Linked DNA regions of Struthio camelus. The protein of the gene in region 1 interacts with the protein of each later gene in a pairwise test. Links are inferred from orthologs where the notes say so. Each region holds a gene or a part of one and is shown on either strand. Other genes may lie near its edges. The genes, in order: SNCA, USP8, CYCS and SQSTM1.

Region 1 (7,455 bases):
CTAATTCCCTACTATATTTAATTCTAGACTAAGTCCCACCCATTTGCAGAATGAAGAATTTATCATATTCATACTCTTTTTTTTTTCCTTTTGTGTCTCTTATGCTCCAATCTGAAATTTTTCAGAGGCAGCTATTTTGAATCTTACAGCTGAATGTTTAAATCTTATTTCTACTGTGCTAACTGATCCCTCTTGTCTTTGCCTCTCTACTTTTAACTAGCTGTTTTTATTATCCTGCAAGCTGTTGCTTTGCTTAGTACTAGAACAACATACTTCCTTTTGATAAATACGAGACAAAGAAGAAGCCTTACAAAGGCTAAGAAGCAGCTGTAAACCTCCAAGTTCTTCTTCATAGAGTTTTAACAAAATAAATCCAGTTTTATATTAATTTATCAAAAAGCAGGATTTTATTTTCATACTCACTTACATACCGGACAAAGAAAATCTAACTTCAAAGCGAGAAGATAACTTTTAAACAAGGAGCTCAATACTGGTCCTTTAGAAAGGCATTCTAATTTAGGGACTAAGGTTACTGGCCTGGGTAGTAGTGTTTCACACAGCTGTAAGGAATGATGAAAGAATGGCTTCCGACAAGCCCTAAAGTATATAAACTGCTGGGCTTGCCAACGTTAAAGTTGGTGTGTAGGGTGAGTCTGAGTAGGCCTTGTGTTTTTGTAACTGCTTTATGTGCTCTCCTAAAAGTTAGCTTTCTACCAATATGAAGCTTCTACTAAAGGGTAAGATGTTACACTGTTTTTGCTATGGTATCGCTGAGGCTACAGGAAATACTTTAAAAATACTTTGTGACAGTAAGGCTTTTATAGTAAGCAGGGTTTTATTTTAGTGGCAGAATGAAGGGTAGAACTTGAGCTTAAGCTTTCTACCATGTTATCAAAGGCTTCTCCTCATAGCTTCTGTAAACAATCATTGTGGGGGAGTATTTCATTGTGTGCTGCTCTATTTTTCTGTATTCATCTTTTACTGTTGTAGAAGGGTATAAGTGATGTAAGAAATACTACTAAGACTTTGACTCTAACTGTACACCTGGACATGGTGCAGATGTCCCTTTAAGTGAAGCAGGTCAGTTAGGTTCAAAATTGGCTACAACTTACATAAGAATACTTAAGGCTAGTGGCACTAAGTTTTATGCTGGTGATTTGGTCTTCTGTGGAAACTTTGTAAGAGGTAAGCATGAGAGAAACAGCAGTTATAGCACATAAGAAACTGTTATGACTTCAGTCAGATCAATATGCTTTGGTGAAAGTGGCAATACTTGCCACAAAAGGCAGTAGCCAACCTCTTTATAAAACTGAGCACTGAAGTTTAATAGTATAATGCTCTCCCCCCCCCCCCCCCCAAACTTAAATTGTTTTGGTAACTGACTTATGATCATTTGGCTAGTGTCAGTAATGTTATGCTTCTCACTAAAGCACCTTGGTGCTTCTTAAAGTAGCCTTAGAAGTTTCTTTAGTTTACCTTTAATTCTTAAGTTGGCAAAAGGGAGCTTGAAATTGAAAGTAGTTGCTATTTTATTATTTTGTGGAGGGAGTTTGAGGTTTAGCTGAGTGATTGGTTACAGAATGTCTAATTAAGGAGAATAGAAGTTTTAACTATTTCATTATCCATTTCCTGAGATGGCTTGTGTCTTTTAGCTAGCTATAGGGCATTTGTATATAACATGTCCTATATTTGTATATAGGGTGTTTAGCTGCCTCCCTCCTTGGAGGCAACAATATAACGAAAAAGGAATGTTTGAAATAGCTTGTGAAAATAAGTATGCTTTTGATATAATCTGCCAGGAACTACTCACTGATTAAAAACTTCATTGTTAAATTTGGTTGTCACACTGCAATGTGATGCACGGGTGCAGAGGAGTTCTAAGACAACAGAACTTCTTACTTCTCTGGGGCTCTTCAGGATTGCAGCTTAGCAGGGAGTTTGTAAAAACATATATTTGTACTTCTGAATCTTATCCTTTGAATTCCTAGAAAGTTTTTCTGGTTTCTGCTACTGTTACTTAAAATTTTAAAGTAGCTGAAATATAATGCTCAGTTAAATCTGTGACTGAAATAAAAATGCAGCTAACAATCCTGCTTGTCCTGTGACAAAAACTACTGATTTTCATTGACTTGTGTCTCCATAACTGCCTGTTTCCCAGAGTGAAGCATAAGCCAATTTTTACTGAGTTTCTACAACCTGTCTATTGACCTGGAACTCTACAGGTTATTTCTGAATCTTGACTTTTCTGACAGTGTCGGAAGGAGCTGTCATAAACGAAAAGATTAAGGCCTGGTAACACCATTTTCTAAAACAAAAATACCCTCTGTTAGTGTATGTATCTTCTATATATTGCTGAAATCCTTTCTCCAAGGCATCTAAAGTGTCTTATATACAAACATCATAAAATACTGATGATAGGCTGTGGTAGATGTTGTGATGTAGCAGAATCAGTGCACACTGAGTCTCAGATTGTCAACTGTATTTTGCAAAGAAGCCTTTATATTCTTGAAACTAATCTTGGAAAATTTCTGTTAGTGGAATGTTCCTTGTAAAAGGTACCTGGGAACTTAAGAACTATTGGTAAAAGGCCTAACTCTGTAAAGATCCTAGGCACTTCAGTATGTAGATAGTTCACACGGGGAATTTTCCAGCTGCTCTACTCTCCTTGACTCTGAAGATTCAACAAACTACATTCTAGAGCAGATGTATCAGTTTTGACATGTACATTTAAGACAGTCCAGAAAGAATTGACATATATGGTCAGTGAAAAAAATGAAGCTACTAGGTGCATTCCATACATGTTCTTTCCTTATGTCAAGTGCGTGTGGGGAACCCTGAACTCCAAGGGATTAAGCTTTTTGTTGAATATTAAGTAGAAATACTTAAATAACTGAGAATTAAATAATCTTTGGGAATTCTATTACTGTAAATAGCAATAATGTGGCAAGAAAACTAACTTCTCACATGTAGAAAGCATACCCCTTTGATCTACTGTCTAATAAATGATAACTATGTTCCTTTGCCCACAAGTTAGTTGTCTCCCTATCAAGAACGAACATTTCCTTAGTGTGAAGGAGATGAGGTACCTAATGTAATTACTATGCTTTTAAAGCCTTTCTTGAAGGTAGAATTATGAGGAAATGATTCATATTCTCTATCAATATCTTACATAAAGACAGTACACTGCTGAACACCTGATTAAAACTGGTAGCAGGATAAACCAAACAAGTTTTCTTATACAGTAGAGAAACATCAAGGCTTCTAAAGGAACCTTCCAGCTGCATGTTCAGAATGAAACTAAAACCAGGGGAGCAGCAAATTCCTACATAGGATGAGGAATGGAAGATGTTTCTTGCAAGTCAGATCGTTGTATTGGCTACAGCGTGTTCTGTCTGTCCTTTTGGAGTAGAATAAACAAATGGAGAGGGAAACTTTCTGTAGGTCATGCAGGATTTCAAACAGTACATGAACTAGTGTACTATGGCTGCAGGTCCATCTGCTCTAATACCTTGTCTCCTGCTGGTCTTGGCTTGTCATGCCTAAATAGGGCTACCAAAATAGAGAACAAGTCTGACAGCTTTCCCTTTACTGAGGAAAAAGTTTCATAAATGCATCAGATTGAGACATGAGTAGCAGTGGCTATGAAGTGTATGGTGGAGGATGCTAAGAGGGGCACAGGGATTGGCAGGAGCTAGGCTGTGTGTTTTGTCATGTTCCTGACTTGAAGTGCAGATTTCTTGTGTGATAGGACTAAGTCAAATTGCATCCTCAAAAGCATCAGTCTCTGCATAAAAAATGACCTGGGAACATAAATATTATGAAAACTCAGTGGCATTTAACTCTGAAGTCACTTAAGAGCAAGGATTTAGAAGTAGAGGAAAAAGTAGCAAGAGGCTTACAAAAAATTCCTAAGCCTGAATGAAGTGGAACATAGGTGGATTGCAACTGCCATCAAATACATACACTTCCAGGTGTCTAAAGACTCTGTTTTGAGCAGGTAGTGGGTGTGCAGAGCCACAGGTGAGCGAGAACCCTGGTCTCTCTTTTACTTGTCTTCCCCTCTGGATCTGCCTTGACTGGGGAGGGGGGGAAGCTCCCAATTTATCATGCCTCCAACTTCGTTTTCACTGACGAAGCACGGAGGTGGGTGCCAAAGATACGTGAGGCCCCTGACGCGATTCTCCCGTGGGGAGCAGGCGGCGGGGGCCGTCCCCCCGCAGCAAACCCCACCACAGGGTGGGGCGGGAGAAGGGGGGTGTGTGTGATGGGAGCCTCCCTCCGCCCCTACTTCCCTCCCTCCCGCGGTGCTTCTCTCTCCACCCCTCGCCCTGCCTCTCCCTCACACTCGCTGCTTGCCGGGCTGCCATCGAGGTGGCGCCAGGAGACCCGGCTCGCTCTCCCGCGCCTCAGGGATGTACTGAGAAGGGGGCAGCTCCCCTCGGGCCTCTCCGCGCTTCGCCCTTTTCCTCGCTTCAGAGCCTCCTCAGAAAGGGTCCGCGGCGGCGGAGCCCGGCGGTAAGTGGCGGTGAAGGGGGGGGGGGGGGCGCCCGGGGCGCTCCGGGGGAGGGGGGGAGAGGGCGCCGCGTGGTGTGGCAGCCGGGAACGTCCCTTTCCGTTCCTGTAATGGCTAGGGCTGGGCTTCGGTATTATATATAATATATATATATTTATTTACATACACACCTCCCATTGAACATCATTCTGGGGGGACGGGGCGGGGGGACGAAGTCAGGTGGTTTTGCCAGCTTGTCCTGTCTGTGTCAGGGGGAGCTCGTGGGTGCCCCGCTGGTCACGTCGCCCTGCTCTTCTTCTCACTAGGTGCCTGTCTATACGTGTATGTGTATATATATATATATATATATATAAAAAATATATGGCCACGTCGCCCTGCCCACTCTCTCTCTGAGTAGGTGCCTCCATGTACGCAGGTCACGCTGCCCTCCCTCCCTCTCTGTAGGTGCCTCTCTCTCTAAATATATATATATATATATATGTATAAATGTATATGCGGTGGCGCCGCCCACCTCCGTAGGTGCCCACGTACCTGTTGGCGCTGCCCCCGTGGCTGGGGACGTGCCGGCGGCCGTTGGGCGCGCGGCCGTTGGGCGACCGTTGGGTAACGGTTGGTTGGAAGCGGGCGGCGCGCGGGGCGGTGGGGAAATGGCGCCGCGAGCGGGAGGGTCCGGCGGGCTGGTGGTGATGGTGGCGGCTGCCCCTCTCCAACCGCTGCTCACAAGCTGGTAGAAAGCTGCCGCAGCCCAGGTGTTTCCCTAGACGTGCGTTCCTCCTACTCCGCCTTCAGCGCAGAGGAGAAAATAACGGGCGCTGATTCTTTTTTCTGTGTGGGTGGGGAAAGAAGAAGGAAAAAAAAAAAGGCGGTTGATAACTCATTTGTTGAAGGGAACTTGACTTTTTAGTTTTAATTTAAACGTAGTGCTGGGTTGCGCATCTGTCGCAGAACTAGTTTGCTAGCTTTTCTGCTTTAAACATTGCATATCCTTGCTTTTTTTTCCCCTCTTTACAAAATCTTTTCTCATTCGTGGTGCATGCAGAGAACACACAGAGAAACTCAGTTTGCAGAAGAGTGACACTGACTGTGCACAAAATGCTGCATACTGGGGGAAGAACTCAGCTCTTTTTATTTGCTGTAGGTCCTTTTTGGTTATAACAGCATTTTCTCCTAACAATAGCAAGTGAACCTTTGTCACTTAGGATTTTTTTTAAAGTTGGCAGTGTTTATGTTGCCTTTTTTCCTCTGCATGAGCTGATGTGGAGTGTCATCAAATCACGGGGCTGAATCTTGCAATCAGTACATGAACAGAACTTCACTTTGAAGGGAGCGGTGCCTTGGTAGAGGCAGTGAAAGCACTTGTCGTAGCAACGAATCCATCTTCCTATTGGCACTGCGTTATCCAACCCCTTTATTTATAGGTTTCTGTTGAAATTTCCGAACCCGTTCTTGGCTTGTGAGAGTACTGCTCTTGCAGTGCTGTTTAATTTGTTATGTGTGGCAACGTATGAGAAAATGTAAAGGAGATTCGTGTAACAGTCCTCTTTGTGTTTAGCTGTTGTATAGTTTATCTGAAATACTGAATGCTAGCTTAGTATGTACGTATTACTAGGGAAATGTGGATGAAAGCTACAAAATAGATGGGTGTAAATTATCTATAGTCTAATTTTTAAATAACTGATTCCAATCAATTTGACCAAAATTTTCCTTTTCTGAAAAAAGCAGAAAACCTCTATTTGACCTGTGTGTGTGTGGTGGTTTTTCCTCTCTTCTCCAGAGCTGTGTGATTCTGCAGCCATGGATGTGTTCATGAAAGGGCTCTCCAAGGCGAAGGAGGGAGTCGTAGCAGCAGCAGAAAAAACCAAGCAGGGTGTGGCAGAAGCAGCAGGAAAGACGAAAGAGGGCGTCCTCTATGTGGGTAGGTGAGCAGCGGAGATCATGCTGCTAGTCTGGTGTTCCCTGATGTTTGTGCTCATCTGCAAGAATGAAGGTTGGGTTCTCAGAGCTACTCTTCTGGGTTTTTCGTTCTTTCTTTTTTTAAAAAAGAAAGCTCATAGGAGAACCTTGGAAGACAAACAAGATGAGTTGAGCCCTCCTGGGTTTCGTTTCTTTGAAGCTGAACATTGGTTTTAAGCTGTTGCACTGTGCTGTCTGTGTTGCTACACTGTGGAGCCATATATGTAGCCCTATACAGAACAAGATGTGCATCATAGATGGTGCCTTACAGCACAGGAGACCAGCTGGCACTCTGTTCAAGAAGTATACTCCATTAAGGTTGGAGATGTGATTTTTTTTGATACAGTAAATGATATAAAAGCTAAAATGGAAAGAGGCTTCATAGAATCCTGTAGAACCTGTGGGTTTTCAGCAGTTTTTTCTTTCTTTATGAGAAGAAGCTTGAGAGGTTCACTCAGGAGCTGATCATAAACCATGCTGGCTGCTTTGTCTCGGAATAAAATGAAGTGGAAGGGAACGCGCTCATTAGGAAGGAGCCTGTTCTCTCTTTTCTCAGTTTTTAAGATCCCCAGCAGTAACATTTTTGTGTGGCAGTGTCATCTTGTCTTCTGAGATTACCCTCATGTTCAACACAACTGTACATCCATAGCTGCTTCTCTCTATGCCTCATTAATGAAGAGCTACTACAACTGAGATAGGGCAGGTAACAATGGAGAAAGTGGGGAAATATTGTGTAGTCTAGATAAGCCACTTAATTAACTTGGCACAGAGCCAGGGATGACATTCTGTGTAAATCTCAGATGAGTACTGTAGCTGTGTGATCATCATCTTTACTTAGCAGCAGGCTGTAGAGGACTATCTTGCAAATGCTGCCATGAAAAATTCCCAGGAAAAGAATCTGTCAAGATTATGAATAAACAGTTGCTTAAACACTTGTGGATCTGCCTCTCCTGTTCATCAAATTAAGTTGGGCTGTAGAAGAATGGAAA
Region 2 (7,655 bases), on another chromosome or scaffold:
GGCGCCCCCGCGCCCGGCGCGGCCCCTCCGCCGCGCAGGCCGCGCTCGGCGCCCCGCGGCGCGGCCCAGGCGGGCGGCGGCGCGGCCGGCGCCCCCCGCGCGGCGGGGTCCCCGGAAGGCCGGCCAGCGCGCCCGCTCTCCCCGACAGGAAATCCTGGCTGGGCTGGGCGCTGCGGAGGGAGCCGCGGCGCCGGGTTCCGGGGGAAGTGGAATTATTTTTTACCAGCGAAGAGATCAACTTCCACATCCGGTAACAGGGCCCTATACAAAGGCGCAGACTGACCTGGAAAAGCTTGGCCGGCCCGGGGGGGTGGGGGAGAGACGGGGCGCGGGGATGGGGGCCTTACCGTGCTGCCGGCCCGGCCGCCGCCGCCCGCGACAACAGCCAGGGGCGCCGGAGGCCGCCGCTCATCGGCGCCCAAAAGCCCCACACAAAAGTCCCCGCTGCGCCTGGCGGAGGGACACGGCGGGCGGAGGGGAGGGGCGCGCCGAGCCCAGCGCTGCCCCGCCGCCAGCGGGGCCGGGCTGCGCGGGGCCGCGCGGGGCCGCCGCGCCGGCAGCGCTTGGCGGGGCGCCGGCACTTACCATGGGGCGCAGGTATTATCTTATTACACAAATATCCCCGACAAAAGGGGCTCGGCGGAGGGATACGGCCTCGGCGCCGCCTGCCGCGCATGCGCGGCGGCGCCGGGAAAGGCGGGGGAAGCGGCGGCTGGAGGCGCCCGCCATGTTCTGTGGCGCTTCCCGCCCGGCGGGGGGCAGGGCGCTGGCCGCCTGCCGCCGGCCCTGACGGGGCTGCGGCGGGTGGCCGCGAGCTGTCACGGGGCCACGGGGGAGGGCGGGAGCCTCCCTGCGAGCAGTTTACGAAAGAGGGAAGGGGGGGCCCTGCCAGTCCTTAAAAGGGGTCCTGTTAAGGCTCCCTTTTGCCGCAGGGGCAGCTTTGACTGCCCTGTGGCTGCTGGGGCTCTGCCTGTGCTCCCGGGCCCTGCTGCCCTGGCTGACCTGTCTGAGCAAGGTTTTTAGCCACGCTTTGGGGTCATAAAGACAGGACCTGGTGTGGGTGACAAGTCGCAAGTGATCCTAAACCATCACTGCCCCTGCCTGTGCCAAACAGCGCTGGCCTTGACCTCAAACTCACGTCGATCCTGATAACCTCAGTGCACGAAATGTTTTTCTGAGATTTCTTTCAACCAAGCTGCAAAAAGCTCGAGCTGGGATTCCCCACAGAACTATTGTGTCAGGCAGCCTCCAGTACTGCTGTAAAGGGTAGATCCCCTGACCTACATCCTTCAGGAAAGGGATCAGTCACAGAACTCTCCTTTAGTTGTTTTTGGAGATGGTCAGGCCACCTAGATAATTAGGGGAATATTTGTCACAACGATGTGCTCATAGCCATTATTTTTTGCCCTTGACTTCCCTAAATGTCTTTAAAGAAAATGCAGATAACGAGCTTGCAAAGAACTAACGTTGCCTCAGAAATGCTACAGGACTGAATCCTCTACTCACCACTGGAACTGATCCGTTTAGTGCGGGACAGACTGTCCCACACCAAGTTCAGAAACAAGTTGACTTTTCCTGCTCCTACATGGGAGGGAGAACTGAGGCCTCCTGTCTGAGCGTACGGGCTGTGCTCACGCTGCTGCCCGCTGTGTCCACAGGACTCCGTCCAGTTCTCGTGGACTTCTTGCTTTGGGTTAGGTTAACGGGACGAATTCTCCACACGCTTTTTGGAAAGGCAGTTAAATCCTCCTTTATAGGTCACCTCGCTCTGGGACCTGTTGACATGTCCGAGAGGCGGTTTACTTATTTTTCTAGGACTGATCAGCCAGAAGGGGGCACTAAAAACAAGTTGAAACCTCGTTCTTGCAGCTTTTGCCATCAGAGTAAAGAAACTTTAGCTCCAAAATTCATTACATCTCTTTTCCATTATTGATAAGTGTTTTGTGCCTCTAAACAAAAGCATTTCCCCTGGCATATTACGAGTTGTCATTTACGCAGTAGCAGTTGATTATACAGAAAACGTTACTATGTCCTCACAGGTGTGCAGCAACCAGCAGGAATTTTTTGTGGTCTTGGCTGCAGTAGTATGGAAAAAATGAAATTATCTGTATCACAGAAAATCTTTCATAGAGTTAGGAATGCAGTATACATTTCGTTAAAGTTCCATTAACACCGTATGTGAGTTTTCATTATCATGGGTACAACGTCCATCTTTGAAATAGTAATCTCTAATGGTATTTTCATTTGACAGAATTCATCAAAAGTACATTTAAGAGAGAGACATTTGATGTCTAATATAGGCAAGTCAAAACACAGTTTGCATCTGTGAAGTATGTTGTTTCTTTTCCTTTATTTTATCCAGTCATGTGAGAATAATTTTTAGGTCTTGTTAACCAAATAATCTAACAAACACATTCTGATTTCTGCTGTTTTAAATTCCTTTGTTTATTTGTTTGGTACTGCTACACAGTAACATATGTGCTGATAGGAAAATGTGTTTCAACCTAAGGCAACACCTAAGGCAGCATGTTATAACACAGTCAGCATAGTAGCATGTTCTAACAAGTTCTTGAATAAGGTAAAACTAATTGCATAGGCAGGTCCTCCATGATACCTTTCTATATATGGTTTGGTTTTGCCCGTACAAGTAAGACCAAAAGACCTTCTGACACAATTCCTTCATATAAGTTAAATATTAAAAGGGACACTGAGCCCATTTTGGACAGCAGCTAGTATGATACTCAGCATTAATTTGCACGCTTAGGACGCAGTCTTTGACATCAGGGAACTTAAATCTTTTCTTGTTGCTATCATAACTTTCTTGCATGACTTCCTACCGATCTCTCCTAAAACAATTGGAGCAGTTCTGAAAAAAGTATTGTACAAGACCATAGTGTTATTAATAGCATTCAATCCTGTTGAATGTTGTTAGAATATTTCAACTCACTTTGATATTAATCTCTATGAATGCATAATATAGGAGAAGGCATAGAGCTGTACTTAACTTGTCCCAGGAGCTTTTGCATATCTGGTCTGCAAAGTAGAGATGGAGGATATTATTTGAGCCTTTCATGATACCTGATACCAACCAGCATTACAGTACCATGAAGTATTGTGATACGATTCAGCCTTCTGGACAATTACTCAATAGAGTTTTGTAGAGTTTTGGAGGGTTACATGAAGACAAGCATCCTTCTCCTTCTGTCCATCTTCGTTAACTTCAGTTTCCCAGCCCACCTGCTCTTCCTGAGGGAGAGGGGGATCTCCCCACCAGCTTCATTCTATGCTGGATCCTGCAGCACAAAACGGTGTTAGCACCCACTCTTCTCTCCCCACCTCTCTGAGCACAGATGCTCTTCCCTGGCCCTGTTCTGCCCCAGCACTTTGCAGGAAAGACCACAGCCCACCTCCATCATCTCTGCCCCTCCGCTGCTGAAGGAAAGACGCAGTGCAGATCGCACCGCCCAGGGCTTGGCGGCAGTGCTGAGGGGGTGCACAGCACTAACCTCACAGATGCTGCAATAGTATCCGCAGCTAATATTTCGTTATTGTGGATCTTTAAAATCATACTTACAGTATCAGTATGTAACCCATTGTTATGGCAAAATGGTATGTTGTGGATGCCGTATATGTGCACACTTCACACAAAGGATTACTTTGCCAGTCTCTGCAAGCATTAAGTGATCTGAGCTTGAGCATGCTTCAAGGATACACTATTAAAAGGCATGCTGAAACAAGAAACGTAAACGTGTGAAATACTGGTAACAGGCCATCTTCTCTAGTCTACAAGGTAGACTGAAAAAAAAAAAAACCAATAAATGGCCAAGGGAAACTGCTCCAGTGCACAAGATCTTTCCATTGGCAAAATCACAGAATCACAGAATGGTTGAGGTCGGGAGGGACCTCTGGAGATCACCTAGTCCAACCCCCCTGCTCAAGCAGGGTCACCTCGAGCACGTTGTCCAGCATCGCGTCCAGGCGGGTTTTGATTATCTCCAGGGAAGGAGACTCCACCACCTCTCTGGGCTACCTGGTCCAGTGTTCAGCCACCCTCACAGGAAAGAAGTTTTTCCTCGTGTTCAGACGGAACTTCCTGTGTTTCAGTTTGTGCCCGTTGCCGCTTGTCCTGTTGCTGGGCACCAGTGAGAAGGGTCTGGCCCCATCCTCTTAACACCTTCCCTTTAGATCCTTGCACACATTGATCAGATCGCAAAAACGGAGCAGCAGATTGCAGTATCTTCGTTACATTCCCCCACCGCTAGGCAGGTAGGGGCAAGACGGGTAACGTGGCGGGACACCGCGTCGTCCTCCTGCCTGCGTGAGATCTCGACGACCCGACCCGCCCCACCGACCGCCACGGGAACCAGCCGCGGCAGCACCCCCTCCCCTCGCTGCTCCCAGCGTTTCAAACCCCGCGGCACGGTCAGGCCGGCACACGCTTGCCGCCCCTGAGGTAGGCGTGAGGTGCGGCCGCCGTCGCGCTCCCCTGCCCCGCCCCGCCCCGCCCCCGGCCGCTCTGGCGGCGCCGCCGCCGATCCCCCCGCCCGCGCAGGGCGGCGGAGAGTCCCCGCCCCCGGGGGGAGCGGCGGCCCGGGGCGGGCGCTGCCGCCGAGTTCCGCCTCCGCAGCCATGGCCGCGTAGCGTCTCCTCGGCCGCCGCGCTCGGACATGGCCTGCCGCGGGCCGGCGGGCTGAGGCAGCGCGATCCCGCCGCGGTGAGTGCGGGAGGAGTGCGGAGGCCGGGCGGGAGGCGGGCGGCCGGGGGGGCGCCCTTGCGGGGGAGCCCCGGGCCCGGCGCCGCCGCGCGGAGCGGAGCCGGGGGCGGCCGAGGGCGCGCCGCGCTGCGCGGAGGCCCGGCGGGTGCCGGCGCTGCCGCGAGCCCTGCGGCCCGGCCGCGCCGCGGTGACCTTGGGCAGCCCGCAGCCCCCGGGGAAGAGCGGGCGGGGCGGGAGCGGTGCCCGCGCCGAGGGCCGCGGCGCCGGAGAAGCCCTGGCCGTGGCCTGGCGCCGGGCCGCGGCGCCCGTTACCGCGGGCCTGGCGCGGCGCAGGGCTGCCAGCCGGCTTTAACCTGTTCGTAACCGTGCAGGAGCGTTAAACCTCGCCTTCCCCTCCCCCGCTTTCCATTACCTACGCTGCTCGTGCACGTTGGGCGGATTTCAAGTAGCTTTTTAATCTAAATAAAGTGACGCTGCTTTTTTTTTTCTTTTAAAAACGTAGATTGCTTAACTCTCAAACTTCCCCTATAAAACCTAACCTTTTAAAATAACTTCGTCGTGAACTACCCTCCTCCTCCCCACCCCGCAGAAGTCAGTGTTAGTTGAACTGTTGACTGTTGGATCAGCAAACGCTGTCAGAAACGATCTTGCTACGACGCTATGAGAGGGGTCCCAAAGCTTTGCCGCGGAGGTCGTTCGTTTCAAAACGGTACGTGGCCCAAGACAGACCCACGCTGTGCAACTGCTACGATGACTGACAGCACCCAGCAAACAGGCGTAAGTTTAGGTGCTCCGGGGCAGCGTGCTGGCCGCGCTAGGAGGGGCCCCAGCGATTATAATCTGCCTCTGCGCATTAAGTTGTAGGACCGAGGTCTGTAGCTTTAACAGTACGAGAGCCTGCAAGAAATGCATATGGCTCACAGAGATAAATGTACTGATTGAATTTTAAGATGCAGTCATGTTTAAGTGCTGTATCTCTAGGTTAATACTGATATTAAGAAAACCAACCCCCTGTGTACAGAATACAAGTAATAAAACTTAATTGCAAAAGAACTGAAAAACTTCATGCCTGTGAGAAAGCCACTTCTTTGCTGAAGTCTTGGACACAAAAATAAGTGCAATACTTTATTACATACCTGAATTGATGGGTGCACAGTACTTACCATGTCAGTTCAGACCGCCTTAGCGTGTGCTACTTGCAACATAACTGCTTCTGTGCGTTGTTCTGGCTATGGTCATTCCACTTACAGGTTACTCATATCCTTAATAAAACAGTCATAATAATTAGATGTAGCAAAACCTGTTATCAAGAGGTATGTTTCTCTGTCAGTGTAAAACTATCCATTTTAAGTATTTTGAATGGCCATCAATATCCACGCATGATTTCCCTTGTATTTTTTGGATATCCACCTTATTTTCAGTGCTCTTAAGTATAAAAAAGGAGATGGAGACAATGCTTCAGCCATGGTTTAGGATAAATAGATCCAGACTTTGATCTTCATTTTCAGGAAGAAGGTTGGTAAACATGAAACAGGTCATTCCCACCTCCTCACAGAGTTGATTAATAGTAGATTTAGGTATTATGACTTGAATCACTTCTTGCGTTTACGGTTTTATGATCCAGTTTTCTCCTCTTGCTGGGGAGGGAACTATTCTCTTTCCCTTGTGGATGTATGAAAGAGCCACACGTATTATTTGGTGGGTTCACTTACGCCTCGGTTTTGCCGTTGTATTGCTACGTTGATCAGAAGCGACGGGGAAATGGAACGCTCGCAAAAGCGAGCGTAACCTAATCAACGCAGACTGGACCAGCAACAGTTTCTCCTGATTAAATTGATATGAAATTCCTGATCAAAAGTACAGTTCAGTTGCTACTCCTCTAGTGGAAACAAACACAGATGCAGTATGTACTTCACAGTAGTTGGTCTTTCTCCGTGCACTTTGCTGCTGTCTGTTTACTACTCCTGAACTTCATTTGTGCAATTTATTTTGCTAGAGGAAGTATTGAGACCAATAAAATTAGGAATGGGATATATGCAAAAACTTAGGTTCAAAATCAGCTGCTTATATGTATATATAAAGGAGCAGACTTTGATTCTGAAATCCTAAAGTCTTCCCAACACCTACTCAATTCTGACAGGGAACAGAGCTCATTCATTTGAGGTAGCAAATGCTAAAGGGTAAAGGCTAGCAGGCCAATAACAAGTTTCTATTACATGGAAATGAATTGTCAGTAAATAGCTACAGAACTTGACTTCAAAACAATAATCAGAATAGAATGTCTGATGACAGTAAGATAAAAAGATGAGACCCACAGTGGATAAAAGGAAGTGAGAGAGTAGTTGGAAAAAACTTTTGGAAAGTAAAAGGAGAAGTGAGAGTAGTTAGCAAAAGTTTCTATTGAATCTTAGAAGCAAGGAGGAGTAAGTGCAGTGAATGAAGAAACTCGCGTCCGAGTGCGAAAGTGAGCAGTTCTTCTGGATTTCAGAAGATGATGATTCTGGTGCCTGGCCCTTACCCATCAGATGTTTCTTGTGTCAAATACAGACAGTTTGTTTCATGAACTGGTTTTTCTCGCACCGATTTCTATAAGATTACTAGCAGTAAGGCGGCAGCAAACTGCAGTTCTTTAAGAAGTGGCTAGAGACTGGTATGAGGTGAGGAGGAGGGAATCTGGGCTTATGCTAAGAGACAAGGAAGAACTTGTTGATGAACTAGAATGGATGTTAGCTGCCATAGGGCACCCAGCCTATGGCTGTACGCTTGCTCAGAACATACAGCAACAGAACGATTTACTACTGCTTAGGAGGAGAGCGAGGGAGAGAAGTGGGAGGAGGGGGGCTCATGCTGTTCTTGAATAAGTTAGCCTATTACAGTTCTCAGGTTTTGTTGTTGTTTTTTCCTTCTAATACCTAGTATTTTGGGCCCATTGCTTGTCTTG
Region 3 (7,516 bases), on another chromosome or scaffold:
TACCAGGAGAGGCTGAGAGAACTGGGACTGTTTAGTCTGGAGAAGAGAAAGCTCAGGGGAGATTTTATCAATGTGTACAAATATCTGATGGGAGGGAACAAAGGAAACAGAGCCAGACTCTTCTCAGTGGTGCCCAGTGAAAGGAAAGAAACAATAGGCACAAACTGAAACACAGGAAAGTCCAGCTGAACATAAGAAAAAACTTTGCTTTACTGTAATGGTGGTTGAATGCTAGAATAGGTTTCCCAGAGAAGCTGTAGAGTCTCCATATTCTAAATCCACTGGACACAACCCTGGGCAAGCTGTTCTAGTTGATGCTTCTCTGAACCGGGGCAGCTGGACTGGACCATCTCCTGAGGTTCCTTCCAACCTCAATGATTCTGTGCTTCTACGAAATTTTTCACTCAGTAAGTCACAGCATTATAAGGTTGTGTGAGTGTTTCAGTTATCAAATATTTTGGCAACCTTCCAGCTGCCCACTGTGCTTTGCACCCTGCCTGAACTGGCTGGTCTCTCTTTACCTGTGCTACCTGTTTGCTGCCCTGAGGTGAGAAGTGTGCAATGTCCCACTTGAAATGTTAACATTCAATTGCACATGGCCCACTTACTTTTCTAATAGTTTACTGCAATGCCTGCAATAGTTTACAGGGTGTTGCCTCACCCTGTGCCTAACTGGAGCTGAGAACAACATCCTGCTTCCTCAATTTTCAGCCTCTCCCTCCTCCTGAAACCTCCTACAGTAGGAGGTTTCTTCCCTAGTTCCAGGCAGTTGCCTCCAAACTCACCCTACAAAACCACATGAACAGCAGATACAGGAAGAACTCTTGAGGTCCTCCTTCCTCTGCTAAGATCAAATCCTACAACTGACACACTGTACCCTAGGATGCAGAAAATATTTCTGTACCAAACTGCCCCAAGCATGTGATCTTCAAAGCACAGACAGGTGACAATACAACAATTCTTTTTAATTTGACAATAGCTTTTATCTTTTCACTGACGACAAATATGCATTGAATGCAATCCAAATATTCAGTTTAATATAGCTCTTTTCATTTATTAAAAAAAAAAACACAGAGATATCACAATGTTGGCTGAGACAAACGCAGAAAGCATAAATACAGTGCCACATGACATGACCACACACAGAGCTTAAAAATCCAACTAGGATTTGTTTGACAAAAATGCTACACAAAAGTGTATGTTATGGACAAATTTAGCTTTGCCTGAAGAAGGAGCCTAATATATGGTGACTCCAGAGTATCTCAGAGACTCTGCCTTTCCCGCTGTTCCAAAGAGTAGCATATTTATCTTCTCTAACACAGACTGTGCAAAACACAGCAAGTAGCAAAGATTTGAGAGACACCATTCATCAGCCATTTTCATCCGAGGACTCTTCAGTCTAACATGTCTTCTCTCTGTCTTCCTTACCTGTTCGGAGTATAGCTGAACAGCTTCCTGTCCTCTGTCCAAATACCCACTAAAAGAGATAATAAACATAAGACAATCAGTACCTTCCAAATTACAGGACTCGCACCCTAACAATGCTGAAAAGTGACCCTCAAAGCATAGGGTTCCAGCCCAGCCCAGCTGTATTCCTGAAAATCTATGGAGAACTACTCCTTCCTCCTATACAATTTCAAAAGACAATTAAAAACACGTGGTTCTCTGAACAGCCTCAGTACAATTCAGAAATGCTAATGGTGCAAATTCATCAGTACTGTTCTATGACTTGGTAAGATTTATGAGTCAGGGTATGGCAGTTTCTTAAAACCAGCATCCAGCACCGTGATTACAGACTAAATCACTGACACAACAACAGTTCTTACCACTGCACTGCTCCAGATTCATGCTTAGGTAACCCGCAAACGCATTAAGTCAAATCCTCTCCATTTGAGGTACCCGTTCTTACTGGTGAAAACTTATTTTCTAAATCAGCGTATGTTAGGCAGAACATCAGCTTCTACTGAACAATTTAAAAAGTATGCAATCCCGTGAATACTTTAATATCATTTATACCTGTCTAAAATGGTACTACATCAAAACCAGAGGCAGTCACTCTTAAAGTAGACATCTGAACAGTCAGGTATGAGGCAGAGAAGACTCTCTGCCTCTGTTCATTTTACAGGCTGATCTTTAGCATATTCACCTTTATGGCTGAAAGTCTCACAGATCTAGTATGTTCCCTGAGAACATTATTTTATTAAAGTTTACCAAAAATGGATTAAATTGTCTTGAATTAAGGCACAACTTTCAAAAATAGCTTTCCCAGAAAAATAAAAATAACATTGCTACAATGTCTCAACACGTGCCTCGGAAAGGTTAGCTGTAAAGCTCAACATGCAATGCTCCGCAGGAGCATACCTGCACTTGGAAGGCAAAACATACTAGAAATGAGAGTTACAAAGAGTCTGTGTTCTGTGAAGATAAGAAGGGGAGAACTTTTGAAAGAACGTCCGTGGGCTCCAGTCCACATCAAGTGCTCAAAGAAGCTTGCATCAGTCCTAATCAAGTGCTTAAAGAAGCTTAAGAATTATTGTCAATTCTTAAAGCAGCTTAGAAGGTGCTTTCAGCTCATTCCTCTTTTAAAGATAGAAGAAACCAGGGGTTTTATCCTAAGTGTTATGATATAAGTTTCATAAAGTTAGCTCCTAGAATCATATGAGACACTCAACCCTTACTTAAAAAATTAGTCTATAGCCCATACAATTGTGGTAAAAAGTCTAAAAACATAAGTCAAGCGCATCATGAATGCTCAAAATCAGATGGTGATTAAAATGAATAGAAATATACTTAGTTTTTACGCAACATCTCTTCAGCCAACCTCCTAATTTTGGGAGGTTGGCATGATTTGAATTTCGCGAAACAAAAGTCAAGATACCTATTTACAGTGGCTCAATTGCACATATATTACCTGGCTTGCCATAAAGTATATGAACTTAGCTATATATTAAAAGCAAAGTAGTTTTATTATAGTAAGTTTATAGTCAAGAAGATGATTATGTATATATGGTAATTGTTATAGCTTAGTATCATATTATGCATATACCTAGTGACGAAGTGTTAATAACTGGATGGACACATCTGTTTGATGCCGCAGACATGATAAGCAGTGCATAAAACATACACTCTCCAACTTATAAGGGACAATTGGCTGAATAATCTTATCAATTGCCAGCAAAATTTGACATCAGAAGAACCTTTGCTGTCTTTTTACCCTGTCCTTATTCCTTCATTCTTCACGTTGGCACTCCAGATAAGCTCTGCTCCACAACGTGGTAACAGCCATCCAGCTTTGTACATGATCACACATCAGTTCCAGCATAGCGCAAGAGCATGCAAAAAGATGTTACTCTCGTTCAAATGCCAGGCACTTCTGGGAAATTCTGTTACGCTGGCATTTTGTTTAATGTCAATAATTAGGGCAAATAGTTCACCTTTTGTGACGTTCTGCCTTTTGAACACTGGATATTACTACTACAGGAGGCTTTTTAAGAACTCTTCATCCTCTTTGTCAAGGACAGAAAGAAGATGGTGCTTACATCTGAAATTCAATATTCAAATCCTGTTTTAAATACTTGTAGTTTATTGATATAATTTTTTTCAAGCTTTACAACATTGTCCAACTTGCTGGGACAATGGGTCTGGGGCACCCTCCTCTTTTCTTAAGGTGGCACTTTCAATAACACTCTTAGCTTTTTCAAAACTCAAAGACTTTAGCATTCCACACGAGATCTAAGATACGGATGTGCTTTTGCCTCCTCCTCAGTTCTTTATGGTGGCACCTTCACTAACACGCTTATCTTTCTCAAGTTTGCGAGATTTTTAGCATCCTTTTGCTAACTGCGATATTTCTATCACTTTATTCTCCGGTTTCTCTTAAACAACTCTTTAAAATGCAACAGCCTCAAAGTAGGGGCTTAGCCCCTTGCTCGCCTTGACTTAAAAAAGAAACACGCCCGCACTCACGGTGATCGTCTCCTCAAGCTTTCGAAAGTGCCAGAACTTGAAACCCCCAGAGGCAACGGGCGGCAACGGCCGTCACAGCCGCGCCGGGGGAGGGGAGGGGCGGGGCTGGGCGCTCCCCCACCACGTCACGGTCGGGCCGGGCCGGGCCCCGCCCACCGCGCCGCCACGCGGCCTCCCGAGCCGCCCGCTAAGGTCGCAGCCTCCGCGGGGCGCCTCGTGACCCTTGCTTCGCATTCCCTTGTGCGCACGCGCCGGGGACCCGCCCCGCGCTCGTGCCTCCTGACGCTCCTTACGTATCAGCGTTACGTCTGATGCCCTTCCGCAAGGAGGAGGGGGGAGGGGGAGAGGGAAGGAGAAGGCAACCCGGCTCCCCCTCGCCGCAACCTACCCCGCTAGCCTCCAGCGCCGTGACGTCTATCTTGGCGGACGGGGGCGAGAGCCAATCAGAGGTCTCTAAGGCGGTCCTTGACTGGCTGCCGCGCTAAAACAGGGGCGGGCCGAGGCCGGCGTGGCTTGGTTGCAGCGACACCGGCTTACATAGGGCGGGGTACGGCGTGTCCTTGGGCTCAGTCGTCGGGACGGTGAGCGGGCGGTCGGGCTGGTGATCACCGCCGTGGGCGCGGCGCGGCGCGGCGCGGCGCGGGGCGGCCGGGCACGCAGGTGCGTGCAGCCGCCGGCGGGGGGCGGCGGGGAGCCGCTGCCAGCCAGCCAGCCAGCCAGCGGTTACCGTGGCTCGGCGGGACCGTTAGGCCCTGGGGGGGGGGGAAGGGGAGGGTTGGGCCGGGCCGGGCCGGGGCCGGGGCGCCCGCTGCCCACCTCCGTCGACCCAGGCGGAGGAGCCCGGCGTCGCGGCCTAAGCAGGCGGCCGGGCTGCGGCAAGAAGGTCACCGTGGGGCCTAGTGGCGAGGGCGTCCGTGTCCCGGGATGCCCTGGGGGGGCACCCGGGCCCGCTCGGGAGAGGTGGTCGCGCCGCCGGCCCCTTGCGCCCTTGCAGGGTGGCGGCGCCGGCCGCGGCCCTGGGGCCGTGTCAGGAGGAGAGGAGCAGCGCTCGCCGCGAGGCTGTGCCCGCGCGGCGGGCGGGCTGCCCGCCTCAAGGGCAGCCTCGGAATTGCGGTTGCCTTTGAGGGCTTGTATGCAAATAGCGTTGCTCCTGGCGGGTGCTGAGGAGGCATGCCGGCTCGTGGCGGGAGGCAGGCGGGCAAGTTGCTTGCCTGCCTCCCTTGGCTCCTTACTAGGTGGTGTGCTGGGTTCCTTTTCGAGCAGAAATGGAAAAATACACAGATCGTTAGTTTGTCCTTCTTACGAGTGTATCAGTGAGGATGATTTTTTTTATACAAGATTGTTCATGACTAGGGAACTGTCTTAATGGAGATATTGAAGCTATGTGACAGGAAGGGAAATAAATATTGCTGAAATAATTTCTGAAGGGTAGAGTGATATTAAATGCTGTAAAGCAATTACTTTGGGTGGGGGAAGGCTTTTCCTGCTGTTCAAGCATGATGTTTATCACCTTAAATATGTTCTGCTTAGTTCAGTGATTCTATGCTAATCTTCAAACCCAGGAAGTTTCTACCCAGAAACTCCAGACCCAGAAACCCTATCTGTGGGAAGAAACTCTGGAGATTAATGGGCTAGTGTATATGGTTTTGTAAACCAACAGGACCCTTTTAAGGCTTCTGTTAAATAGTTGACCTTGATGTTGTGACATTAACCTCTGTATATGTTCTCACCCTAGTACTGAAAATGGGAGATATTGAGAAGGGGAAGAAGATCTTTGTCCAGAAATGTTCCCAGTGCCATACAGTTGAAAAGGGAGGCAAGCACAAGACTGGACCCAACCTGAATGGCCTGTTTGGACGTAAGACTGGACAAGCTGAGGGCTTCTCTTACACAGATGCTAATAAGAATAAAGGTAAACTCAAAAGAGCACTTTTAAGTTACTTGGCACAAAAACAGCAAGCTTTCAGTGATAGGTCCGGAAGTCTGCCAAAAAGTAAAATACCATGGAGGACAAGAAAATAAATGTTGGGGGGGGAGGGATTTGTTTGCTTATTTTTTAAGGTCACTGTCTCTTTTTTTTCCTCCTTTTCGCTAGGAATCACCTGGGGTGAGGATACTCTGATGGAGTATTTGGAAAATCCAAAGAAGTACATCCCAGGAACAAAGATGATTTTTGCGGGTATTAAGAAGAAGTCTGAGAGAGCAGATTTAATAGCATATCTCAAAGATGCTACTTCTAAGTAAACTTTTATCTGCTGCCTTATTTATTTCACAAAGGAGATGGCAATGGAAATGTCTGTGATGGTTTTTAAACTTTCTATTTTTACATGTACTGTATCTAACCTTAAAATTTGCCTCACTCGCCAAATAATGTTGCTTGTGGTGGGTGGTTGGAATACATGCTTGTTTGGCAGCCATAACTTAAGGAAACCTTATGTAACTGGGTAGACATCAGTGAATACAATGTTCAGTCATTCTTGATCATGGAATTAAATGGAGGAAAAAAAATAAACATTTCCTGCCTCTTCATTGTAAAAAATATCAAGCGAGTCATTGCAAACAGCATAATAGCTTTGGCAGCCCACCTCTTCGTGGTTTAAAAAAAGTAGGGTGGGTTTTTGCATCCTTCCAAATGCATCATTTGTAACATTACCTGCAAGATAACAAAACGGTATTTTTCTAATCCTGACCAGTGCAATGTGTGGTTGTATACGTTCATCTGGCTAAAGCTTGGGATAAGAATGCAAGTTCATCTGACTTCATAAGTACTACCTGTGATATGGCAGTTGTACCAACCCACTTCTAGGGGAAGCATGTTGCCTGTTTATCCAGACTTTGAGAGCTGCATGCACCAGTAGAGCATAGACTATATCAGAAAAATTTTCAATTTTTGAAGTGTTGTTGAAACCCTTTGTTCAATAACTCTTCAGAACATACCTGTTCATAGCTTAATAAATGGAACAGAGAACTGTACTGTCCTGGAAAGATAAGTGCTGAACACTAAGCTGAATGTTACTAAATCTCACTTCAACAGGAGTGTTAACCTAAAATCTATTGTTACAAGCAAATTCTGCTGAAGGGGTGTAGGCAAGAATGCACTGGTAGACTAAAAGGAGGCTGTCTTCCTCTGTGTCTGTGCTTGCCTTGTGTCATTACTTTAGAAGGTTCTATTTCATGCAGTGTAAAATAGTGTGTTTTTAAAGTTCTAACTGCATCTTTTCATACTAAGTGAATTGTTAAGCTGAATGTATTTACTGTGTACCAGTGGCAAGGCCCAATTCAAAGAGTGATCAACATTGTAAATTAAAGAACTCAAAATCTTGTTTGCTGTATGTGTCTGAAATTTAGTGAGACAAAATGGGAGTGTAGAAAAAAGCTATATGTTTGGTTTCGGGTTTTACACCTGAAAAACACTTCTTACAAGAAAAGTAAAAGCTCAGCATGAAAAAAGTAAATGCTGATGGAGTTGATGTGAAAAACGAATGCAGTGAAGTTGTAAGGTAGGTTGAACTAGAAATAGAGAAGCCAGATTCTTCCACCGGTGTTCTCT
Region 4 (7,633 bases), on another chromosome or scaffold:
TGTTTCAGTGCTTTCCAGGTAGGATAGATGTCCCTACTATCTGCCTTTAATAGTAGAAGGTACACCCACAGTTAAGTCCCAGCACAGAAGCAGCTGAATGCTCTGAAGCAGAAAGAGACTGTTAATCACTTAATTGGCTAAAATCTTAATATTCAGCCCCACCATGCACAGCATATTAAATGCATGTAGTGGTTCTTGTACCTGGGACTGGAAGTTTCCTTCTTCCATTTGTGTGGGCAGAGGATCTATCATCATGTCTTGTATCTGCTCTGCAACAGCACTCACTTCTGTAGCAGGATCTGTGCTATTCCAGTCTGGTTTGGTCTGACTATTCTGGTCAACAGTACTGCTGCTGGGCTCAGCACTGTTCTTCTCTTGATGGGGAGAAGCAGGAGTCACTTTGCTCCTCTGTCCTCCATGTTCCACATCAATATCAACTTCAATACCTATAAAAGCATTTGAGAGGAAGAGTTTTACAGATTTTTTTCCAAAGCTGAGCCCTGAAAGAGCCTTTGCTAATCCTGGCCTAAACTCGTTAGCATTTCTACAGTTTCCTATGGAACATGCAGGAATTAAGTGAGAAACTTTTGTTTTAAAACAAAGAAGAGTTAACCAGCAGACAGCCTCATCTTCCTCTTGGGACAAGTGCTCCATACATTTAGAGGGTCAAAGCAGAAGTTGTACACATCCATATAAGCAAGGCAAAGCCCTGAGTCATCTCTGACTTCATGATACAGTCAAAACATATCGTCTTTCCTCATTTCCTTCCAAATGGGGACTCCGGAAGGGTATTAAGTGGATGTTTTAAGTCTAGGCGTTTTTAGGACAGGGAATAAGTTAAGGTTTTCAGGCTTGGCAGCATGAGGTATCAGGTATCAGTCACAACAGCTCATTGCTCCTGTTAAAAGGAGCCACACAAAGCCAGTCTCAGGGATGGACAAACCGGAAGTCACTTACCCAGGGGACTCAGAAAAGCTGCAACACTCTCCCCAACATTCTTTAAGAAGGTGACATTGGGGTCCTGAGGCTGGCTGTTAGTAGAAGCTTCTAGAAAAACAGTTTCTGTTAGCACACAGCAGCTCAGTGGGGAGACGGCATTTATAGAGCATATCCCTCAAGAGATCTCCGTATTTGTTTTCTATTGCTTATCTACACTGCACAAGAAAGGCAGTATAGCGACGTGAGCCTTAACAAGGCTCTTGTCATTGGTTTTCTGTTCCAGAGCTAGTTCATTAGCCATGCTGCGAGAGGCACGTCTAGAGCACAGTAGTGATGAGCTTGATTTAACATAGCTCTCCTTGATACGATCTCAAGTAGTATCTCTGTATCCTCCTCTATTGCATGGGCCCAAGCATGCCTTAAGACAATCCTACTCTGCCCTGGAAGGTGCTAATTATTTTAAGCAAATAGTTTCAGTGTTTTTCCACCCAGATTCCACAATTCCACACCATGCTGCAGAAGCCTCATCTACCCCGCCACTTCCACCACCACCTTTGTTTACCAGAGCCTCTCCTCTTACCTTGCTCAGTGGGTGGACTGGAGGCTGCAGCACTGGCTTGGGCTTGTTCAGAGTTTTGACAAGGAGCTGGAGGAACAGGATATCCCCAGCGATGCATCCATGGGAAGGGTGGAACACCATGCCGCATCTTACGGAGCCAACGTCCTCGGGGAAGCCACTGGAAAGAGTAATGTTCATGTGACTGTGTTCATACAAAGATTACGAGCAGCTGAAACTAAAGGAATTGATTTGGTTTAGCAGCTTTCAGGGAAAATCCTTCTGCTATGGAGGGAGATTAGCAAACAGGATTTTGCTCACCTCAAACGGATGTAGCAGTGGACTTTGAAACATCACCATGTTGTGCTCCTTGTGGATGCCCTTACTCTCACAGGTGCTGCACAAGTCATAGTCTGGACAGACAGTGCACTTGAACCTAGCACCCACCACTGGTCCTTCACAGCCATCACAGATCACATTGGGATGCACCATATCACGGGGAGGCTCCTGGCTGCATTGTGCACGATGTTCTCGCTTGCACTCTTTTTTCTCTGTTAAGGAAAGGAGACTGTGTCTAGAACCAGGTTACTATTTAAAGGCTGGGAATCAGGCAGGGGAGAAGGAAACAAACAGCACTTGTTACAGCAGGATTGACTTACTAGGTCAGTTTATTTTTATGCTAGCTGCCAAACACAAGCCGGGGGCACGTAAGAGAACCTGAACCAAGAGTGAAGTGGTTTCACCAAAATACCTGCTCCTTGGTCTGAGCAGGCCTTATCCTTAATAGATTCTCTTTCCATGTTTGCATTTGATTAACAGCGCGCTACTCCGTTTGGCTTCTTGCCCTACCTTCCTGGGCATCGTCCAGACAAAAGGCTTCATAAGAGGGATCTAAGAAATGCCACGAGACATAACAGATGCAAATGGGGACAACAGCGACAGCTTGTTTAACTCCTTAGACTGTGGACAAGGCTCTGGAGGTATCTAAATCAACACAAGGCAGTAGGGGGCAACTAAGCACTGATGAAAGGACTGCAATTTCAGCTTCTTGACATATCACTGTTAACATTAACGAGATCAGTGCCAGTCACGTGTTTCCAGGTAGCCAGCACAACTAAAATGGCCTTTTCTGACCAGCTGAGACTACAGGGCTAGGAGGAAACCGGTAAGTTTGTCCACCTTACCTCAGCAGAGGGGTCTCCTACTTTGTCCTTCGTTCAGCCCCTCCTCCAGAGGCTGCGGGCTACACCGGCCCCCCGGGGACGGGGCGGGTGGCCTGTTCAGGGCCAAAAACGTTACCTTTGATGTAAACGCGGAGAACACCGTCCTGGACATAGGGCAGGGCCAGCTCCAGTTCTTCATCGCTGGAAAAAGCGATCAGGTCCCCGTCTTCATCTAGAGAGAGCGGGACTCGCCGTCAGACCCCTCGGCCGGGTGGCACCAGACGCCCCCCGCCCCCCGGCCCCGCTCACCCTTGTAGTGCATGCGGAAGGCGGGCGGCGGCCCGGCCCGCAGCAGCCCCTGGAAGAGCTCGGCGACGCGGTCGTGGATGGCCTGGTAGCGGGCGGGCGGCGGCAGGGAGAAGCGGCGGATCTCGCGGGCCGCCTCCTCCTTGCCCAGCAGGTAGGCTTTGACCGTCAGAGCCGCCATGGCTGTGGCGCAGCAGGAATTGCCGTCGGCGAGCCGGGCCAGCGAGCGAGCGGGCAGAGCGCAGCGCGGCGGGCGGGGCGGCGCCCACCCGCCCGCCTTTATAGCGCCGGGCCGGGGGGGGGGGCCCCGCAGCTCGCCCCGCCCCTGGCGCCCAGGCTCCGCCCCTAGCGTCTAAGACGTTCTTCAGATTCCTGGCCCCGCTTCCAGGCCCCGCCCCCCCGCTTCCAGGCCCCGCCCCTGTCCCCGCCCCCGGGTTCTAGGCTCGCCCCAGATGCCGGCCCCTCCCCCCAGCGGCAGGCTGTGCCCCGGTTCTAGGCTGGCGCCGGGTTCTGGCTAGCAGGGGAACCCCCGGGAGCCGGGCCCACCCCCAGGGCCAGCCGCCTCCTCCCCGCCGGGGCCGCGCAGCCTCCGGTAGACCCCGGCTGCTGCCGCCGATGCAAAGGGGTCGTTCCCCCCCCCCCCCCGTTAAACCACCTGCAGCCGCAGCAGTCAGCACCTAGCGTCAGGGGCTCGAGTTTGCTCCTGGGCTGCCGGCCCCGAAGCTGCGGTTTCCGCGCCCGGGGCTGGATCCTCGGCCCTCGGAGCACCTCCGGGGAGCGAGGGGGCGCGGGAGATGCAGGAACGCGTCCCCGCGGGGGAACCGTGCTCGCGGCTGCCGGGGTTGAGCAGGTGCCATCGCCGCCCTGCGGCTGCCACCGCCGCGGGGTGGGCTGGGCGCAGAGGGACCCGGCTGGGAGCGCCGCCCTGGAGGGGAACAATAACGTGTCAGCTAACAATCTTTCCTGAATCCTTCTTTTTTTTTGGGAGGAGGGCTAAAAATAAAGATACGAGGATAAACACAACTGACATTAAGGATGCTGTTCTGGGGACTTTCCAAGCCGGTTGGCAGCGGTGGTTTTCTGCGGATCAGATGCAGTCGACAGGCCTCTTAGGCCGCAGGAGAGTCAGCTGGCCGACAGCGCTATCTGCCCCTTCCAAGCGTAACTGAATCAAGAGGGATCAATGACTATTAGGTTCCTAGTTGGTGTTAATTTCCTCTCACCTAAGGGCCTCGCTGCCCTCAGTGTTAGCGACATGTTTCTCAGTCTGAGAGAATACAAATTTAGGAGAAACTGTGTCATGATTTATCGTCTTTTGAAATCAAGAGAAAGTTAAGTTTGCTTTTCCACGATGGGGAGGGAGTTTGTTTCTCGACCTGATACATGGGGAAACAGCTGCCCTTCCACATAGATAAATGTTTGGCAGACGTGTGGCAATTCTGAAGTCGAGGCATTTTCTGGAAAACAGCGTTCAGGGTAGATAAAATTGCCTTTTTTTAACTTCAAAGGCCCGGTTTGCTTCCTAGCTATTTCACGGCCGGTTCTCCAACCAGAAGCGATGAGTTAACGTTTAACCGGGAGAGGAAGTAAGCGACGCTGGGCGGCGAATGATTCAGCACGGTTAGCAGCACTCAGTACTGAGCGGTTTGGGCACGAAGCGAAGGCGCAGGCCTCTCGCCCTCCCTTCCCCCCGGTTGCCGCGCGTGCGTCTTATCTCTGAAAGCGCCGCTGAAGGGTGACGGCCTGACATCACCGTACGCGTCGCACGTTGTTGCACGAAGCCAGCAGAGCGGCGGGCGGGCGCGGGCCGAGCGGCGCCGGGTGCTGCCGGCCCGTCCGAGCCGCCTCCCCAGGCGTCGCCGGGGACCCGCTGCCCCATCCGTCGCCTCCCATCTTTGAGGACCCCCCTGGTTTGGAGCCAGGGACGCGGCTGTCGGGAAATTGTTTCCGTAGGTGCCCAGTTGGCGTCCTGCCCCAGCAGCTCCTGCCGCCGCCGCCCCGGTGCAGACCCTGCTGCACCCTCCGCCGCGATCCCGCAGCGGTTTGTTCCGAAGCTGACGGGTCCTTTCAAGGTGGTCGCGTCTCCGGATTAACGTCGACGCCTGTAATTCTCGAGAGAGTCACCGCGTTAAGCGCGGAAGCCCAAGTTTCGCTCCGGGTGAACTTTAAGCCACTTGGCAAACGTGGAAAGGGCCAAAAGCCAGAGGGAATTTCCCCTCGCGCCTGCTGCGTGCTGAGTCACCCTCGCCTTCCCCTGACATCACGCACTTTTTCAAAACACACGGAAAACAAAGCTTTACCCCCCCCCCCCCGGCCTTGTCCTTAGCTGAGCTCCGGGATCACGGGGCAGCGGTGACTCGCGCCGCCCCCTCCAGCGCGGCGCCGGGGGCCCAGCTGGCCGGGGGGGCCCCGAGAAACGCCGCTGCGTCCCCCCCGCCGCGGCTGGCTGCGGCCCCGGCCCCGCTGCACTCGCCCCCCCGCCCCCCCCCCGGGTTTGGCTTGAGCTCGCCTGAACTCTGCGCGTTTTCTGTGCGTTTCGGGGCAGCTATCCGCGGTGGAACAGCAAAGGAGACGGGGGGGGGGGGGAGGAAAAGCTGTTACAGTTGCAAATTTTGACGTTAGGGAGGAAGGGCTCAATGTTAAAAAATAAGAAATAAACTACTCAATGTTTAAAAAAAAAGAAAACAACTATGACAAAGGAGCAATGATCGTCCCCACAGCTCGTGGTGCTCCCTCTGCACCCGCTCCCTGCTGGGAAGCGTTTAAAAATATCGCGTGGGATTGGTGCTCCGCGGGCGCGATCGCTGCACATCCCCCCCATGTCCCCGCTCCCTGTGGCCTCAGCAAGCTCCCCGGGGGCGCAGGAGGGCGGCCAGCCGCCTCTCCGCTTGCGAGCCTGCTGGCGGCGGCGGCGGCTGCTGCCGCTGCTGCTGCTGGTGCTGCTGCCGCCGCTGCTGCGGCTTCTCCAGCGGAGGCGATTTCTGCCGAAAGCCTCGCTTCAGCGGGGCCCGCGACGCGTCGGGCCTTGGGATCCCCCTTCGGGGCCCTGCGGGCTGCGTGGGGGAACCGAGGGGGCGAGAGGCGGGTGACTCAGCCCCGTGTCCCGTGTCCCGTGATCGCCTCCCTGCCGTGACCGCCCGTCCCAGGCGGGAGGGAGGCGGGCGCGCAGCGGCCGGACCCCCGAGCCCACCTCCCGCCTCCTCTCTCCGGAGCCGGCTGCCCCTCAGCGGCCTCTTACAGCGCGTTTTAGGAACGCGCGTGTGTAGGAGCTGGGCTGAGGCGCGAGGGTCACGACCAGAAAGTTTGCTCTGGAGAACTGGATGCGGAAAAGCTTCTCTCTCAGAAGCGCAGGCAGAAGGGAAGGTCAAGCTGTCCTCCGTTTTTGAGGTTTTTTCCCAAGGTTAGCTCATTCAGTACCTTTTGTCAGTGGTGTCACGCGGAAGTGCGCTCTAAGCACAGAAGAGTCTAGGACTCTTTTTTCCGAAGAGGAATAAGTAGGGGAAAAAACCTCTGTTTAGCAGGCGCGCAGGGCAAACATCGTGGCCGTGCTGTGCTGCGCAGGCAGGAGGGCTCTCGTGTTTCCAAAAGCGAGGGGGAACTTTTCGCAGCCTCCGCTGACTGCTCGAGGTGACTGCTGCTCTGCAAAGGTGACTCGTGGCTTCCGCCCCGAATTAAAGCCGGAGCGTATGAGCAAACCTGATGTAAACACCCTGCAATGAAATCCGGCATCATTTGGAAACGTTTGTAGCGGAGTAAACCAAGTTATCATGCTCTTCAAGCGCAGGGCTGTGTAAAACAAACAGGAAATGAAGTTACTGTGTTTCATGAAAAGGGTAAAACAGCAAGCAGGCTTTGCTTAAATCAGCCCTGGGACGGACCGAGCGTGACCTGATCCCAGATGGGCCAAACTCCAGAGCCGAGCTCTGGGGAGAGCCGGGTTAAATCAGCTATAAAGCCGGGTTACGTTTTGCATCTAGAAGTAATGTATGCTTTCTATTTTTAATTTTTGTTACAGCCTCCAGCCCCGGGGGTTGCTATCAGGCTGCCTTCAGTGGAAGGCCCTGCTTTCTGAAACGGGCTCGGGATTGCCAACGTCAACGGCTCAAAGAGCGTGAGATCAGCTCAAAAAGCACGTTCTCTCTGTTTATTCGCCATCGGGGTTTTATGTCTTTGCAGTTCACATTTTAAACTTGGCACGGCAAAAGCACCCAGAAGGCCTGTCAGAACTTACTTTTTAAACAGAGTAAATGTCAAAACTGAAGCAGAAGGGAGGAACTTTAAGAGTAAATGCGAACTTTGTCGGTCTGAGATAAAAGTTGCAACCGCTGGCAATTTCGCTTAGCCCCACCTTTTTCCAACAGGGCCCAAGGTTTTTGATGTGCAATGGCAGTATAAAGTTCCTCCATTTCTTCAGACCTTTATGAAGACAAAGTGTAAAAGCTGAAATTAGATTAAGCTTTGTCTTAGGAGAACACTGTAATTAATTGTCTTGGAGAAACTATTCAGATTATCCTTTTCTCTTCTGCTGCCGATAAACCCACATCCCAAGTGTCAGGAACATTTTGCGTATCTGAAAATAAACGCCGAGCATCCGATGCACTAAACTGCGTCACGTCGTTTCGCCGAACTCTTGAACGGCAGAGAGATGGCGTGCGCCTTTCCCACCAGC

The links.
Region 2: the proteins of SNCA (region 1) and USP8 interact in a two-hybrid assay, tested with the Homo sapiens proteins (2 studies listed by BioGRID, with this or other methods). The link is inferred for Struthio camelus from reciprocal best matches to the Homo sapiens genes SNCA and USP8.
Region 3: the proteins of SNCA (region 1) and CYCS interact in binary tests that used the Homo sapiens proteins (3 or more experiments, as listed by UniProt). The link is inferred for Struthio camelus from reciprocal best matches to the Homo sapiens genes SNCA and CYCS.
Region 4: the proteins of SNCA (region 1) and SQSTM1 interact in binary tests that used the Homo sapiens proteins (3 or more experiments, as listed by UniProt). The link is inferred for Struthio camelus from reciprocal best matches to the Homo sapiens genes SNCA and SQSTM1.

The regions. Positions count from the first base shown.
Region 1 is NC_090945.1:13,020,967-13,028,421, reverse strand, and holds the start of SNCA (alpha-synuclein), read left to right. Parts: upstream 1-4,132; 5' UTR 4,133-4,515; intron 4,516-6,287; 5' UTR 6,288-6,307; coding exon 6,308-6,428; intron 6,429-7,455. UniProt on the Homo sapiens protein: Neuronal protein that plays several roles in synaptic activity such as regulation of synaptic vesicle trafficking and subsequent neurotransmitter release.
Region 2 is NC_090953.1:12,457,732-12,465,386, forward strand, and holds the start of USP8 (ubiquitin carboxyl-terminal hydrolase 8), read left to right. Parts: upstream 1-4,548; 5' UTR 4,549-4,714; intron 4,715-5,216; exon of another isoform or gene 5,217-5,491; intron 5,492-7,655. Other genes in the region: GABPB1 (GA-binding protein subunit beta-1), read right to left, coding at 586-588. UniProt on the Homo sapiens protein: Hydrolase that can remove conjugated ubiquitin from proteins and therefore plays an important regulatory role at the level of protein turnover by preventing degradation. Converts both 'Lys-48' an 'Lys-63'-linked ubiquitin chains.
Region 3 is NC_090943.1:38,123,242-38,130,757, reverse strand, and holds CYCS (cytochrome c), read left to right. Parts: upstream 1-4,382; 5' UTR 4,383-4,513; exon of another isoform or gene 4,514-4,626; intron 4,627-5,701; 5' UTR 5,702-5,709; coding exon 5,710-5,878; intron 5,879-6,061; coding exon 6,062-6,210; 3' UTR 6,211-7,289; downstream 7,290-7,516. UniProt on the Homo sapiens protein: Electron carrier protein. The oxidized form of the cytochrome c heme group can accept an electron from the heme group of the cytochrome c1 subunit of cytochrome reductase.
Region 4 is NC_090954.1:7,034,120-7,041,752, reverse strand, and holds the start of SQSTM1 (sequestosome-1), read right to left. Parts: upstream 3,260-7,633; 5' UTR 3,146-3,259; coding exon 2,968-3,145; intron 2,891-2,967; coding exon 2,795-2,890; intron 2,047-2,794; coding exon 1,817-2,046; intron 1,677-1,816; coding exon 1,520-1,676; intron 1,048-1,519; coding exon 958-1,047; intron 447-957; coding exon 202-446; intron 1-201. UniProt on the Homo sapiens protein: Molecular adapter required for selective macroautophagy (aggrephagy) by acting as a bridge between polyubiquitinated proteins and autophagosomes.